Linked DNA regions of Oryzias latipes. The protein of the gene in region 1 purifies or fractionates together with the protein of each later gene. This does not show direct contact. Links are inferred from orthologs where the notes say so. Each region holds a gene or a part of one and is shown on either strand. Other genes may lie near its edges.

What was found. Proteins that work in one complex are often made in the same cells at the same time.
Region 2: the proteins of psmg2 (region 1) and psmg4 purify together in Homo sapiens (affinity purification with mass spectrometry; 3 studies listed by BioGRID and IntAct, counting the BioPlex papers as one, with this or other methods). This does not show direct contact. The link is inferred for Oryzias latipes from reciprocal best matches to the Homo sapiens genes PSMG2 and PSMG4.

What each region holds. Positions count from the first base shown.
Region 1 is NC_019869.2:7,089,796-7,097,396, forward strand, and holds psmg2 (proteasome assembly chaperone 2), read right to left. Parts: upstream 4,463-7,601; 5' UTR 4,311-4,462; coding exon 4,254-4,310; intron 3,527-4,253; coding exon 3,355-3,526; intron 2,201-3,354; coding exon 2,142-2,200; intron 2,071-2,141; coding exon 1,952-2,070; intron 1,866-1,951; coding exon 1,686-1,865; intron 684-1,685; coding exon 563-683; intron 462-562; coding exon 378-461; 3' UTR 153-377; downstream 1-152. UniProt on the Homo sapiens protein: Chaperone protein which promotes assembly of the 20S proteasome as part of a heterodimer with PSMG1.
Region 2 is NC_019862.2:21,271,193-21,278,482, forward strand, and holds psmg4 (proteasome assembly chaperone 4), read left to right. Parts: upstream 1-2,656; 5' UTR 2,657-2,754; coding exon 2,755-2,919; intron 2,920-3,923; coding exon 3,924-3,999; intron 4,000-6,239; coding exon 6,240-6,361; 3' UTR 6,362-6,565; downstream 6,566-7,290. UniProt on the Homo sapiens protein: Chaperone protein which promotes assembly of the 20S proteasome.

The DNA of each region.
Region 1 (7,601 bases):
GAACGAGCATTGTGTCGTAATTCCGGCCTGTGAGGAATCAAATTACTCATAGGTGGGACTGCCAGGAATACAGCATGGCAGCCGGCCAAGCACTTTCAGTTAGGAGGGAGGAGACGGGACGAAGTGAGAGTAAAATGTAATCACAAACGCAATTCCCATGAAAATATTTTATTGTGGAAAACATTGATATTATCCTGGAAGTGCTTTCCATTTCCTGACATGCTGATGTGAATGAAGTTTGAGGAAAAGGGAGATCTTTAAGGGGTCAGTGATGTTTGACGGTGTTGTTCGACATCTGCAGCAGGAGTTTTGTGTAAAAGAAAAAGCTGCTTTGAGGCTTTTAATTGGTTAAATAAAAGATGAAGATGAAATTTGTATCAGAAGAGCGCAGGAGGGATTCCACTTCCAAACAGAAGACTCCAAGAAGTAGGAATTTTCCATCTGCTATTTGGCTCCTGGTCCTAAAAATGGAAATAAGAAAAATGATTCATATATATCTGTTAATTCAAACCTCTACACTGGATGAGCTTCATCATATCAGCAGGTTTTCTGTCTTTCAAACCTGGTTGTCCAGCAGATGAAGCCAGTCGTTGAGATGATTCACCAGAGCAAAGGCGTCGGGAATGTTGTCTCCTTCAGAACAGAAGAGCAGCAAGACGGCGAGCCGGAGATCCTCTGCACAACTACACACAGCATGAGATCAGAGACACAAACAAGAGCTGCAGTTGTTACGTTCTGAAGTTATTCTAAACTTTTTGTGACTAAACAAAAAGACTAAATGAATCAATAAGATTAAGCCATGTTTTCTTAAATTCAGGCTTTAAAAAACCATGCTGATATTATGATTTACTTTTAATAGCCATCTACTCAATATCCGGGTTTGTAGCGACCTTTTGGCTCTGAAGCTGCGTCTAAAACACGCTTGGCGGTGGACGAACTTCAAATGAAAAGATAAATGCACATTTAAGGTTTAACATTAAAAACCTGCGTTCACGCATGGCTACAGACATTTTTAAGACCATTTTTGGGATCTACAGTCAGGACCATAAATATTTGGACAGAGACACATTCTTTGTACTTTAGTTTCTGTACATTACCACAGTGAATTTTAAATAAAACAACTCAGATGCCATTGAGCGGGTCGTTCAACAACCGAAGGGTTGGTGGATCGATCCCTGCTCTCCCCAGCCAGCTTTCAAGGGGGGTGACAAGCAAAAAATTCTTATTTTCTGCTTTGCAATAAATTAATCTTATCAAGGAAACTTATCAATAGCAAAATAATGTTAGTTTAAGAAAACATGCCTAAGTGACTAGATTTTTCCCCACAATTCTTGTTGAGACCATTTTCTTACCTACTGGCAGATTTTTTTATTTTAAGAAACCATTTTGTTTTTCATATTTTAAGAATTTTTAACTTTCTCTCTGTGTTTACAGCCTGGATTTCAGGCAGGAGGTGTTTTCTGCAAAGAGCGCTAAACGCTAAACCCAAACTACCTTCTTCTTGAAGTCTTTAAAACAGAGAATCTCAATTTATATTTTTGTATTCCTTTGGTTTCAATTCCCAAATTACAATAAATTGTAATTTAACAATGAAAGTTCAACAACAGTTAATGGCCAATTACCAGGACAGCAAAGAGGGCTTTTTTTACGTTATGGGTACAGGTGTCATGTCGGAGTCCCAGTACCTGTCAGAGTAAAGTCCTTTTGTGATGCCTCCTCCTGGGATGCAGAGTCGAGGCTCGGCCTCAGCATCCGTTAGTCCGGGAAAGGCCGGCGTTCGCTCCATCTCCCTCCAGCCCAGCTCCTTCAGAGCATCAGCACTCACTCCCAGCAGAGACGGTGTGACCAGGAACCGAAGAGGAGAACTGATGAAAACGCAGATTCATCAGAACAGAAATGTCTGGAAATGGTTACAAAAATATACAAGGATGCTGTCAGACTGCAGGATTACCCCTGAAGCTGCAGGTCGTCTCTCTGGTAGGCATGGCTGCTGGACAGAACCATTGTTCTGGAGAAACCGCTCGCTTTGATCCAAGATACCAGCTGCTGGCGAAACCGCTTGGTCCTCGTCTGCAGTAAACAAACAAGTCAGAAATCTGACTAATTCCACGTAAATGTTGACGGGAATCAAACGGCTTTACCTGAATAATTGGGGCTCTGATCTGGAGAACTGCCAGCTTCATTTCTGCTGCTGTGTAAACTGCAAATGATTTATTTTACAGATTCCGTTACATTTTAATGAAATACGTTTTGTCTGCACCAGTGGTCCCCAACCCCCGGGCCGCAGACGGTCATTTGGTACCGGGCCACACAGAAAAAATAAAATAACTGACATGACTTCCGTTTTATTTATTTCAGAATCTGAAAGATGTTTTATTTTGAAAAACTGCAGATTCTTTGTTCCATTCGTCTATGTCACTCTTGACGCAGGCCAATTCGCTGATCTCGGTCACGTGATGGGTTACCGCTAAAATAAAACCCAGGAGCTAGTAAAATGAATAAAAAACAAACGTCTTTGGAAAGTTTCTTTGCCATGGGGAAAAGGCTCAGCCAGGAGACCAAAGAGGAGCCTTCCACTCCCCCCCCAAAAAAGAAAGCTACATTTAAAAAGACAGTATCAGGAGTCCTACTAAAAATACGGATTTATCTCAACGGGAGATTCCCTCGAACCATTCAGCACTGTGGTGAGTTGGATTTTCCATGCACTTATTTTGAAGGCATGTTTAAATGTTATAATAATAGCGACCAGAGAGTGTTGCCGGCAGAGAGGACGTTGCTCATGTCCTAATTCTTGTTAATTGTAATGTTTAGAAAATACCACCGTTTTCATGCAAGTCTCATCACTTTGTTGTATTGTAGTGTCTGTCACGTGCACGTTTGGTCTGCTGTCGGAGTTCCGCAGGCTGCAGGGGTTACTGTCGGAGCTGGTATCACAGGGAATTTTAGCACCATGAGTGTGGGAAGGGGAGAGGATGATGACACAAGTGCGATGAACAATGTTTAGCGTGTCAAAATAAAGGTGCAGAGCGCGTCTTATCACGCGTCTCTGCCTCTGTAGTAGCGTTGCTGCAGCGTGTGTCCGCCACATATAACATACCGGACCGTGAGAATTTTGCCAGACATCAAACCGGTCCGTGGTGCAATAAAGGTTGGGGACCGCTGCTCTACACAATACAGTGAAATATTAAAATCTGTCAGTCTGTCACATAAAAGGGTGATTGTACACGAAATACAAAACTATCACATAAACCCTTAAACCAAGTCACCCAAAAAACTGTCAACACAAATCAATGCAACAACATTTGCAGCATAGAAAACGTATCAATCAGACAGACTTTGCTGAACCCATGTTACCTTCTGCAGGAGTGTGCAGCTCCTCCGCATCCTCTTTGCAGGAGCTGTAGGGGTTGTTTCCAGCCATGGGGATGAGACAGTCTGTGTGCATGTAGCCCACTCTCCTCATGTTAAGAGTAGATACGATGAGGTCGACCGCCAGCTGACCCACGTTACCAACAGAAACAGCCGGCTAAGGGGACACCCAAAGAAACAGGACAAATATGGAAGACGGCTACTACTGTGAGGTGAAAGGCTTTCAGAAGGCCTGAAAACTCTTTTACATCACAATCGAATAAAACAGCACATTTCTAATGCCTTTTTCAAATCAAAACAACTTAGCTAGAACTTTAAAATGCAGTATTTCACCCTAGTTTATGAAACATTATGGCAAAAACTTGAAAAACAATATTATGTCCATGCATTTATCATTCTGGAGGTGTTAGGAACCAAATTATTAATACAAATAAATGTCAGAAAATAGCAATCGTCAATTAAACCTAACAATCTTTAGTTTTGGTAGAGAAAATTATCTTAAGTGATGGAATTTGTTAATACATACGTGACTTGGTTTAACCAATTAAATGTCATAATAATGGCCAAGGCCATTTATCACAACAGACCTGACCCCGGTGTTTTCTGCATGAACATCAAATCGCAGAGGAGCTACATTCTCCCTCTGACATCCTTTTACTCGAATGTGTTACAGTTTTACTGCTGTTATTTGTTAGAGTTCAATAACAACCACAATTATAATAAAGAATCAATCTACAAACTAACTGACTGGAACCAATTACAGCTATGAATAAAGTAAAAAAAAAAGAAGTAAGTAACACAGACTTGTTGATAGTAATATACAAAGTAAAACTGCTTGCAGTTGCAACAGAGAAACGTTTGCAAGAAGTGAAACAAAAACTCACCATGACGAGGGTAAAATCTTTGAAAACAGGAGGCGAGTCTTGCGAGGAAACAAACATGATGCTGAACAGGGAGCTGACACAAAACCAGAGAGTTACGGTTAAAAAAAGTATGTAGGAGTACGCTAATCACAACTGAAAATTTGTAATATCTAAGCACACGCTTCCTCAAGTTTCCATGCCTGATTCTGTTGTATACGTTCGTGGAGATTTTGAGGACTGAAACTAGTTTAGGCATACTTCAGGAATGCCTGACTATAATTCATCAAAAAAGCAAACTTAAGAAAATCTAAAATCATTATAACCTATTTTAACCTTTAAATGTATTGGTTTTGTAGTAGCGTGTGTAGATTATTATTAGTTTACCCCCACCTAGGAACAAAAACATTATTTTTTAGATTTCTTTAGTCAGGCTAGTAGCCAAAACACCCTCTAGAAATAAAATGGTCAATTTGTCCGCGTTTTTTTTATTTTTTTTATATAACTTTATTTAACAAATGCAAGTAAATTTGTCCGCGTTGAAGCTTTATTTATTTATTTATTTATTTATTTATTTATTTATTTATTTACCAATGTATAATAGTGTAGCGATCTGGGGGTTAGCCCCGCCTATTATTATTAATTTTATTATTATTATTATTATTATTATTATTATTATTATTAACAATAAGAATATTATTATTATTATTATTGTTGTTGTTGTTAGTAGTAGTAGTAATAGTAGATGTAGCTTGCCGTAGCTTGCAGCAGCAAAATGTGTCAAATTAACTTTAAAGCCCAAATTTTCTCCAGGGTTCATTTAATGTTTTTAATACACTATGATTTTTACTGTTGTGTGATCTTTTTTTTCGTTTGTTTCTTTTCATGATAGAAACTGTTGTCCCCACACGCATTTTAAAACTCGAGTGGATATGACATTCCAAGCAATGGCAGCCAAACTCTGGAACACCCTGACTCTGCTTCTACCATTGACTGTATACGAGACATTCAAGGGTTGTACAGTCATTGACAAGACTGAGGCATTCAATCATAAGACTTTTTTTATTTCAGCAGGCTTTTAGTTAGATTTGGGTTCTTTGTTGGATATTCTGCTTCTATCTTTAATATTTGTTACTTGTTTTATCTTCTTTTTGATGTGGTTGTAAACATTCTTTCTGGAAAATTACTGCATACACTACTTACTTTATAAAAAAGAAATAACCCACTTTCACAGGAATTTTTAAAATGTAAACTGTTTATTTTACTAAATAAAAAAAGAACATTTTCAAAGTCTTTCTACCTTTCTTTTATTGTTCTCTGCCCTTTGGTTCCTTTTTTACTGCTTACATTATTTTTTATTGTTTCTAATATTTTCCCCTCCAGGGGGGTATTCCAATAAGCAGGTTATTCTAGTTACCACGGTAACTTTGAGGCTAAGGAAGTTGATAACCTCAGCTTTTGGTTCCAAAAATGGAGGTATGTTTCAGGGTAGGTCAAGTTGCCATGGCAACTCATGCTCTGAACATAACCTGGTCTGGAGCAGGTTTAGTTGAAGCTTAGTTTGTTTTCAGAGAGGTGAAGCAGCATGGTGTGTCCATTTGAAGATGATTTAGTGGATGAAGAAGCTCAGATAATACTTTTTCCACCATGAGAGGGTGATAAGACCACATATAGATGTTGGAAAGATAAACTTTTTTACATTGCTCTAACTTAATTATTTGCTTCAGTTAAGATAAATCAATTATTTTGTTAAGTCATCTTAAAAATAACATCTAGTTATCAGACAGTTATTTTACCTTAATTCAAATTAATTTTATTAAGTAGGTGTAACTTTGATGCTGCTGTTAGATCTGCACCGCAAGCAATTGTGGGATACCATTCCATTTGCATGTCTGGACGGATTTGGGTTTAAGTGTGGGTTTTTGACCAACTGTGTTTAGTTGTTTAGCTGTTTTACTGTGTTTTGCTGAGTTATTTGTCCTTTTATGTTATATTTTTTCTGCACCATGAGTGAGGGAGGGAGAGGATGATGAGGTTTTATTTAGAAGCCGCTTATTCTTGGTGATGTATTGTCCAAGTAAGAGAAATTGTAAACTACATCTTGAGTCATGATACAATTCCATTTTGTTTCAATCATTTTATTGTTATAAAATGAGTATATCTGCCGGCTCAAACTTAGACATAGGAGAGTTCAAGAAGTACAATAAATTAAGATGGAAAAACATTTGAGTAAAATCACATTTAGTTATATAAATATGTAAATTTGAGTTGTAAAACAATATTGAGTTGGGTAGACGTAAGAAATTAGGTTGAATAAATTTAACTCAATTACTTGATACCAATAGAAGCAATTCATTTAAGTTGGATAAGTTATATGCGTCACAATGAAAATAGAAATGAGATTGAAACTCGTGCGTTTACTTTTTCCTTCTTTTTCTCCAAGCAGAAACTCTTTCTTTTGCTGATGATGCAGCCGTATTACTTTTTTGATGGACGTATAATCCTCACACACTGTCATTTAAATCTCAGACTCTGTCACAAAAGTATAGCGCTCTCTTTTGTTCTCGTCACGTTTCTATGGTGACTCTGGATATCGACGATCCATTGAGAATGTCTTTATGTACTTGCTGTGCACGTGCATTAACCCAGGGTTACCAAGTCCAGCGTAATTACGCCAACTCATATCCGGTCTTTTGGAACCGACATACCCAGAGTAAGCAAGTTCAGGCGGACTTCAGCCAGAGTTCAGGGTTAAAGTCAGGCTAGTTTAAACCTGCTTCCTGGAATACCCCCCAGTATTCTTCCATATTTTTTAGTGCGTTATTTATTCATTTAAAAAATGTTAATGTTAGTTCATTGTACATAGTATTGTGCGGTAAATTGCATAATATAATAGTTTGTATGGTAAAACCCATTTGTCACATTAAAAAGGAGGTCTTGGACTCACATTTTTGTCTTTTTGTTTATTTATTCAAGTACAAAGAAAACCTGTGATTCTACAGATTACGATTGAATATGTCGACAGATGCGCAACTGAGTAATTTACAACAATATCATACAAGAAAAAAAACATAAATGAGATAGAATGTATAAAGCCACTCTTTACCAACACCTAGATTTCCTGCTTCTCAGTCCTACTGTTTACAGTGGCTTAGTAATTTGAAAACATCTATTGATACAGCTCTTGGCCACGTTTGTTTTATATAAGAACTCTATGACAGCTGTAAATTTAAAGACATAACGTAATATAACCAGCGACAGACTGGCGGCCTGTCCAGGGTGCCCCCTATCTTCACCCACAAGTGGCTGGGATAGGCTCCGGCAGCCCCGTTTCCAGCCATGGGGCAGCCTCAAATAATCAGTCTTAAAAAC
Region 2 (7,290 bases), on another chromosome or scaffold:
CAGAAACGTCATCGCAGGAAAGGTTCAACATTTTCCCTGAAAGGGGAAAAATAAAATCAGAGGACCTGATTATAATCATTGTCTCAATGAAAATAGAAACATATCATAAGGTCCAGGGGGGTATTCCAGAAAGCAGGTTATGCTAGCTCCCACGATAAGTTTGAGGCTAAGGAAGTTGATAACCTCAGCTTTTGGTTCCAGAAATGGAGGTATGTTTCAGGGTAGGTCAAGTTACCATGGCAACTCATGCTCTGAACATAACCTGGTCTGGAGCAGGTTTAGTTGAAGCTTAGTTTGTTTACAGAGAGGGGAAGCAGCATGGCGTGTCCATTTAAAGATGACTTAGTGGATGAAAAAGCTCAGATAATACTTTTTCCACCATGAGGGGGTGATAAGACCACATATGGATGTTGGAAAGATAAACTTTTTTACTTTGATCTAACTTAATTATTTGCTTCAGTTAAGATAAATCATTTTTTTTGTTAGGTCACCTTAAAAATAACACGTAGTTTTCAGACAATTATTTTCCTTTCGTTCAAATTAATTCAATTAAGTAGGTGTAACTTTGGTGCTGCCGTTAGATCGGCACCGCAAGGGATTCTGGGATATCATTCCCTTTGCCTGTCTGGACGGATTTGGGTTTAAGTGTGGGTTTTTTACAAAATGTGTTTAGTTGTATAGCTGTTTTACTGTGTTTCACCGTGTTTTGCCGAGCTATTTTGTCCTACTATGCTTACGTCTCTGCACCATGAGTGAGAGTGAAGGAAAGAATGATGAGTTTATATAGCACCCCTACCACAGGAACCTGCTATGACAGTGACAGAAAATTCTTTAATGAATTTTTGCACTCCGTGCATTTTTTTTCCGTTCTTTTTATTTTTATAAAAATGAGCATATCTGCCGGCTCAAACTTAGACATATGAAAGTTCAAGAAATATAAGTAATTAAGATGGAAAAAAGATTAATGGAGTAATGTGACATTTAGTTAGATAAATACGTACATTTGAGTTGTATAAACAATTATTGAGTTTGAATTAATTTAACTAAATTATTTAAATTATTTTTCAGCCATGTTACTTTTTTGATGGACTTATAATTTTTTTCCGCTCTCATTAAAATCTCAGACTCCGTCTCACTTAAGTACAGCGCTTTCTTTTTTTTTCACCATGCGTTTCCATGGTGACTCCAGAAATCGGCGATCTATTGAGAATGTCTTTATGTACCGTGCGTTAACCCAGGGTTACCAAGTCGAGCGTAATTACGCCAACTCATATCCGGTCTTTTGGACCCGACATACCCAGAGTAAGCAAGTTCAGGCGGATTTCAGCCAGAGTTCAGGCTTAAAGTCAGGGTAGTTTAAACATGCTTCCTGGAATACCCCCCAGGAGGCACGAGCAGGCTTGTCCCGCTTTGCGCAGCTGCCTGGTCTGAGTTTGTCGGTCTGCCAGCTCACCTCCTGCGAGCCGACATCAGGCATGATGTGAGCTTTGAGTGAATGGCGTAAGAATGAGGAGTGTTTCAACCGGGGACTTCGAGACGTGGACGACCGGAGCTCCTCTGTAGTTTGGTCCACACAAACCCTCAAACTAGAAAAACAGAGTCGTAGATGTTTGCTGCAGCAGACAGATTGTTTGTCTCTATTTGATCTCTAATGTCAGCAAAGCCGCGCGGATATCGCTGAAACATGAAATCTCTCTGACTGGCACACTGCTAAGCGGGTATCGAGGAATATGAGTCGATTTCCATGGATGAGCCAATGAACGTTTAGATCCCGCCCACTTTCACTGATTGACAGACAGACCCATTCTCCTGAAAAAGCTCTTCATGAAATAAATAAGCCATTGTGAAAAACAGCAACATGAAATAAAAACAAAGCTACTTTGGAAAATATTGATTTTGAAATACGAGCTTCTGAAAAAAGACAGAATTATAATAATATTCAACATGATAAAAAATGAATATTTTAAAATGCTTTTTTAAAATAATGAACAGGTTTTTAAAGCAAAATGAAATATATTGAATAATGACTAATTTAAAATCTGTGTGCAGGTTTTTCACAATTTCATTATCTTTTTGTATATTTATGAGATTTATGAGATTTATAGGTTTATTGTGTATTTGCATGAGGTCATATTTATTTATTTAATTAAATATTTATTTATTTAATTATGAACAGTATAGGACTCCATAGTCCCAAATAGGCTGCTCCATCGTAGAACTCAGTCTGGAATGTCACACTTTGCATTTCTGAGCTCCTCTACTATGTTCCAGACTGAGATCTACGATGGACCAGCCTATTTGGGCCACCATGTAAGAAAAATAAATGTCTGAGAATAAAGAAATAAAATTAAGAGAAACAATTAAGTTTCCTTTTCTTTTAAGAATAAAGTTGTAAAATTTTTAGAAAAAAAGTTGCACAGCGTTAAAAAAATCAATTTCCGGGAATGAAGTCACAAGTTTATTGCTTCAAAAAGTTGTAACTTTACAAGGAAATGGTCAGGTCTTTTTTTGAAAACAAAATTTTACTTATGTCTTTTAAAATGTTTTTAACAAAGACACACATTATCTATACCCGTACATTTAATTTATGTGATATCAAATGGATATCGATTGTTTTTGTTTTCGATTACTCTGGTCTGACATCCATCGCTGTGGGGGGTTATCGATTGCTTATGTCTGCCAGTTAGTCAGAGCAGGAAGCCTCGGTGGTGTGCACGGCTAAAGCTAACATTCATTGAATGAACGTGTTCAAAAATGAACGGAGCGGACTTCCGAGGAATTTCAGTTCATAATTTTTCTGAGAAAATCCTGGAGCAGGTCGTCCACTTCCATGTCATGAAGTTGGACGGCGGGTTCTTCCTCTGGGTCGGTTCGGCTCCGGTTCTGTCCAACTTAGCGGTCTCTCTGAACAGCAAATACGTGAGTACAGAACCCAGGTTTGTTTTGCTGACATTTAACTTTAAGCTAAAACCTGAACGTTAGCAATATAAACGTTATTAAAACCCTAAAATAACTCATGAAGTATTTCAATAAAGTCAGCTGAGTTTGGAACTTTAATATAACATAAAAACACATTTTAGTTAATTCCATTAAAAGAAAAAAATTCTTTGATATTTTCCAAAACTAGCTTAATTTTTGTTGTTTACATTTATTTTTAACTTTTAATAGTTTTTTCCCCCAAATTAAATGAGCAAGTCATAGTCACAGTCACAGATTTTTATTATTATTAATAATAACAGTAGTAGTAGTTGTAGTAGTAGTAATGTTGTTTTTTTATTTTTATTTTTACAATTACTTTATTTAAAAAAATTGCCTTTCCAAAAACATTGCCTGACTCCAAAATAACAGATTTAGTCTTCCTTCGTGAATATTAAAACAGGAAAATGCAATTCATAAAGACACCCCACATTTTTCACCCCAAATGATCTTGTTTATTTAAAACCAAAAAAAAATCATTGAAGATTTTAGGTCATATACAACTAAACAAATAAAATGTCTCATGTTGTTTTTTTCTTCATTAATGTTTGTCTTCTTTGAAAATTTTTACAAAAGATCCCTGCTTCTAAATACATTGAAGCTAAATGTGAAAATATTCTCATTTGAATTTTTAAATCTATAATTTCCCAATAATTCTAATCTCTTGTTTATCATAAGAGACCTTTCATTCTGTCTGTCATTGTATCCACTGACTTCAGTTCTGCAGTCTTGGATTGATTATTTACAACAGACATCGTTAAATATTTAGTTACTCCATCATGTAAAAAGTTTACTCTGGAAAATCTATTATTATTTCTTTCCAACTGTTTTATAATCCGGATTGGCTTTAAAAATGCGGAACGCAATTACAAAGAAATCAAACTTTCTTTTAGTAAGAATCTAGTAATTATTTCCTGGTTTTACATGCTGTTTGTTTTTGTTTGCAGGATTCAATGCCGTTATCTACGCTGGTGATGGGGGACCCGTCTGAGACCACTGCGAGTTCTTTAGCACAGAGATTAGGTAATCTCAACCCTTTCTATCATTTTTTTTCATAGCTTTATGAGTCCAAAGACAACAAAGTTAAAACTATTCCTTCTTTTCCTGTCAGGCAGTTTCAATTATCATCAGATCTTTCTTTGGAATCACTCCTCTTATAAACCTAATAATCCCTTCACTACACATATGCTTTACAAGACAAACTTCATAATCCATCTGTCACTCATTATTCCACCTAAACACAAGTACAGATTAAAGTTAAACAGAGATGCATATAACTGTGAGAATATTAACAGAAAGAAATTAACCAAAAATAATGGAAGTAAATTATTATTATTTTAAATTAATACATTTTTGGCCCTAAAAGGTCACTTTAAAGAGTTTCACTTCTCTTAACTAGGTTTGAAAGTAATTAATTATTTTCACATGTTATTATTTTTTCATTTACCGGTACATTTTAGATTTGGCTGCTCCATTAGCCAATATAGGTCAATGCGAATGCCCTTTCTGCCTGCAGGGGGCGCCACAAATCATAACGATTATTTTTTAATTATAATAAAGCTTGTTAATACCAATTCTTCTTTCAATGAAAAAAATGTATATTGAAAGATGCATAATTATCATAACTCAAAATGATGCTTCTCTCCTGAAAAAAAGCTTTCCAGGACACAGAAGAAAAGAATTTGGAAAAAGCAGGAAGAATAAGAGTTAAAGCACTAAGATTAAATGCATCTTCAGTTATTTAGCACAGTGAACTGTTCAGTTAAAAATGTCTTAACAAGCAGCTTCAACATGGTATGTTATTAATCTCTAATAAGTACAGTTTTTTAAAAATCTAAGATACAAACCAGTTAAAGTAATTTTTACATCAGACATCTTCATAGATTGTTACCTTTGTAGTTATTATAATTATTTCAGCGGCTGGGTAGCTCAGTTGGTAAGGTGAGAAGCCACCACCAGAAACCAGGGTTCGATTCCCGGAGGGGCCTGAACAATGGTAGTGGGGGCAATTAACATCACCTTGGGCAAGACCCTTAACGCTACTGCCTCCTGAGCGCGGTTCGGCTGCAGCTCACCGCTCCCCCAGGGGATGGGTCAAATGCGGACAACAAATTTCCCATTGTGGGATAAAAAAAACAACAAAAAAAACATTTCATTAATTAGCAGGTTTTTTATGTTATAGTTGGGTTTTCATGTTGGATTAAAACCTTTTTTTGTCATCTATTGACATGTCGGGTGACTTATAGGAAATATAGGCAGAAATAATGATATTCAGCTAAATTTAAGATGGAGGCGAGGAGGGCGGACGATGAGAGGGTCTGGCTTTGACTCTAACTTTTGGAGTTCAAAATCTCCTTTGAAACAAAATAACGCCACAAAAATCAATTATTGATGTACAGATACCTCAACGTATTCACTCATGTGTTAAATGATACTTTATTTACGGAGATGAAGAGGATTCAAATATGAATATTTGACATTTTGTTATCTTTTAGATTAAGAGCAAAGCTTCCCTCCAAAGCTTTTAGGAAAAACAAATGAGTGATTTCATAAATAAACCAACATATGTTTAGGTCAATACAAAATGCTCTTTTAAAGGGAGATGACATTCAGTTTATTGCATTAGTCACATCATGTACCTGTACGGGCGCCTCTGGTTTTTGGGATGTCTGTGGAGGGTTGTAAAGAGGAGCGGCAGGTGTGTTTTGCAGTTGCCTTAAGGAATGTACCATTGTCGTACGTGGGGTAGGCGTATCGTGAAGTATTTGTAAAGATGATGCAAGTTACCCTCACTTCTGATGCAGGGGGGGGGTGCTGTTGTGCGGCGCCCTCACACCACACTAGTCGTTGGTGAGGTGCGCATATCACAAATTCAAGCGCACTTATTTCCTGATCAGCTCTAATGGGCTCCCTGCACTGGGTGCAAGTTTGGGGGGGTGAAAAAAAATGTTATATTTGTAAGACGCGCCTGCGTCTGACCTACTTCGCTCTTACCTACCCTTTGTGGTCGCATAAGTGTTCGCGTTGACCCATCGCCTGGAGCATGCCCATAGAAAAGATGTGCGTGACCATCTTTGCTCTACGAGTTCAATAAGCGTTCTTTGATCTTAAAATTTTGTGCGGGCCACCTGCGTACATTTGTCCGCCGTAGTCCGGCCGTATCAACATATAAGGGCAGTTGTTGTGACTAAGGCATAAGCTAAGCAAGCTTGTATGTTTACTGTCAGGGTGGGCATCAAAGAGAAATTGCGTCTGTTTTGCAGCAAAGAGGACGGAGAAGCAGGTCTTTGTGAGCTACAGTCTTCCCATGAGCGACTCCAGCCTCAGTCTGTTGGTAGAAGGCCGAATCAAAAAGGAGCTGGAGCTTCACCCGGAGCACTTTTAAACAACATAACAACAGCACACAGAAAGGTGAAGACCCACCCAACCGCTCTCCCTCATCAAACAAGCATCAAGTTACCAGGACAACCAATCACAGCCAGTTTGTTTGCTTTTTTTATTAGCATAATAAATTAGGAGGTTTATCAAAACTGGTAGGCCTATGGCTTTTTGTACAAATGCATCTTATTAAAAAATAACACTTAAAAAACAGTATTAGTGGCTTTTTTATGTTGAAAACATACAAACTAGTAACCAGACATGTGAGCTATGTGCTAAATATGGAAACTATTTGTATTTCAAGAAAACAAACGAGTCACGATTTAGGCGTCTTTATGTTTTGGAAGAAAGAAAAATTGGCACAAGTCGGCAAACTATGAATATTGATGCAGTTCTGGTTGATGTTGGGTTTGGAAAGTGGTTAAACCTACACAAGTCACGAGGCCAGACCTACACTGCTCTACTCTAATCCTCACAAACACTTACTCCAGAAAATGGTTGAATATTGTGCTTTCTGTTCAGAGGAACTGAGGTTCACAACACGGTGCAAAGGAGGAAGAGGAGGAGGTGTGGAAGTATCTACAGAGTGTTTCTAGCTAACACCCCTCCCCTCGCTTCTGTGGAATTCAAAAATAAATCCAGAATTTCTTTGATTTCATTCGATCTGGTCTAAAAAAAAAAAAAAAGAAAATCACATTAAAGCCATCTGAGATGCGTCATCAGACACGGCGAAGGTCACTCCAAAATGCCCATTCAGCTCCCAAATGTGGTGGCGTCGATTCTCCGGCTGATGGACAGCCATCATGCGCCCACCACGGTGTTAGGTTAGAAGTCTACACCGGCCTCACCGTTACACATAAAGTGACTTCTATTCAAGACCACAACAGAGACTAAAATTAAAATCATGTTGTGCCTTTTCATGCATTAAAAAGAAAT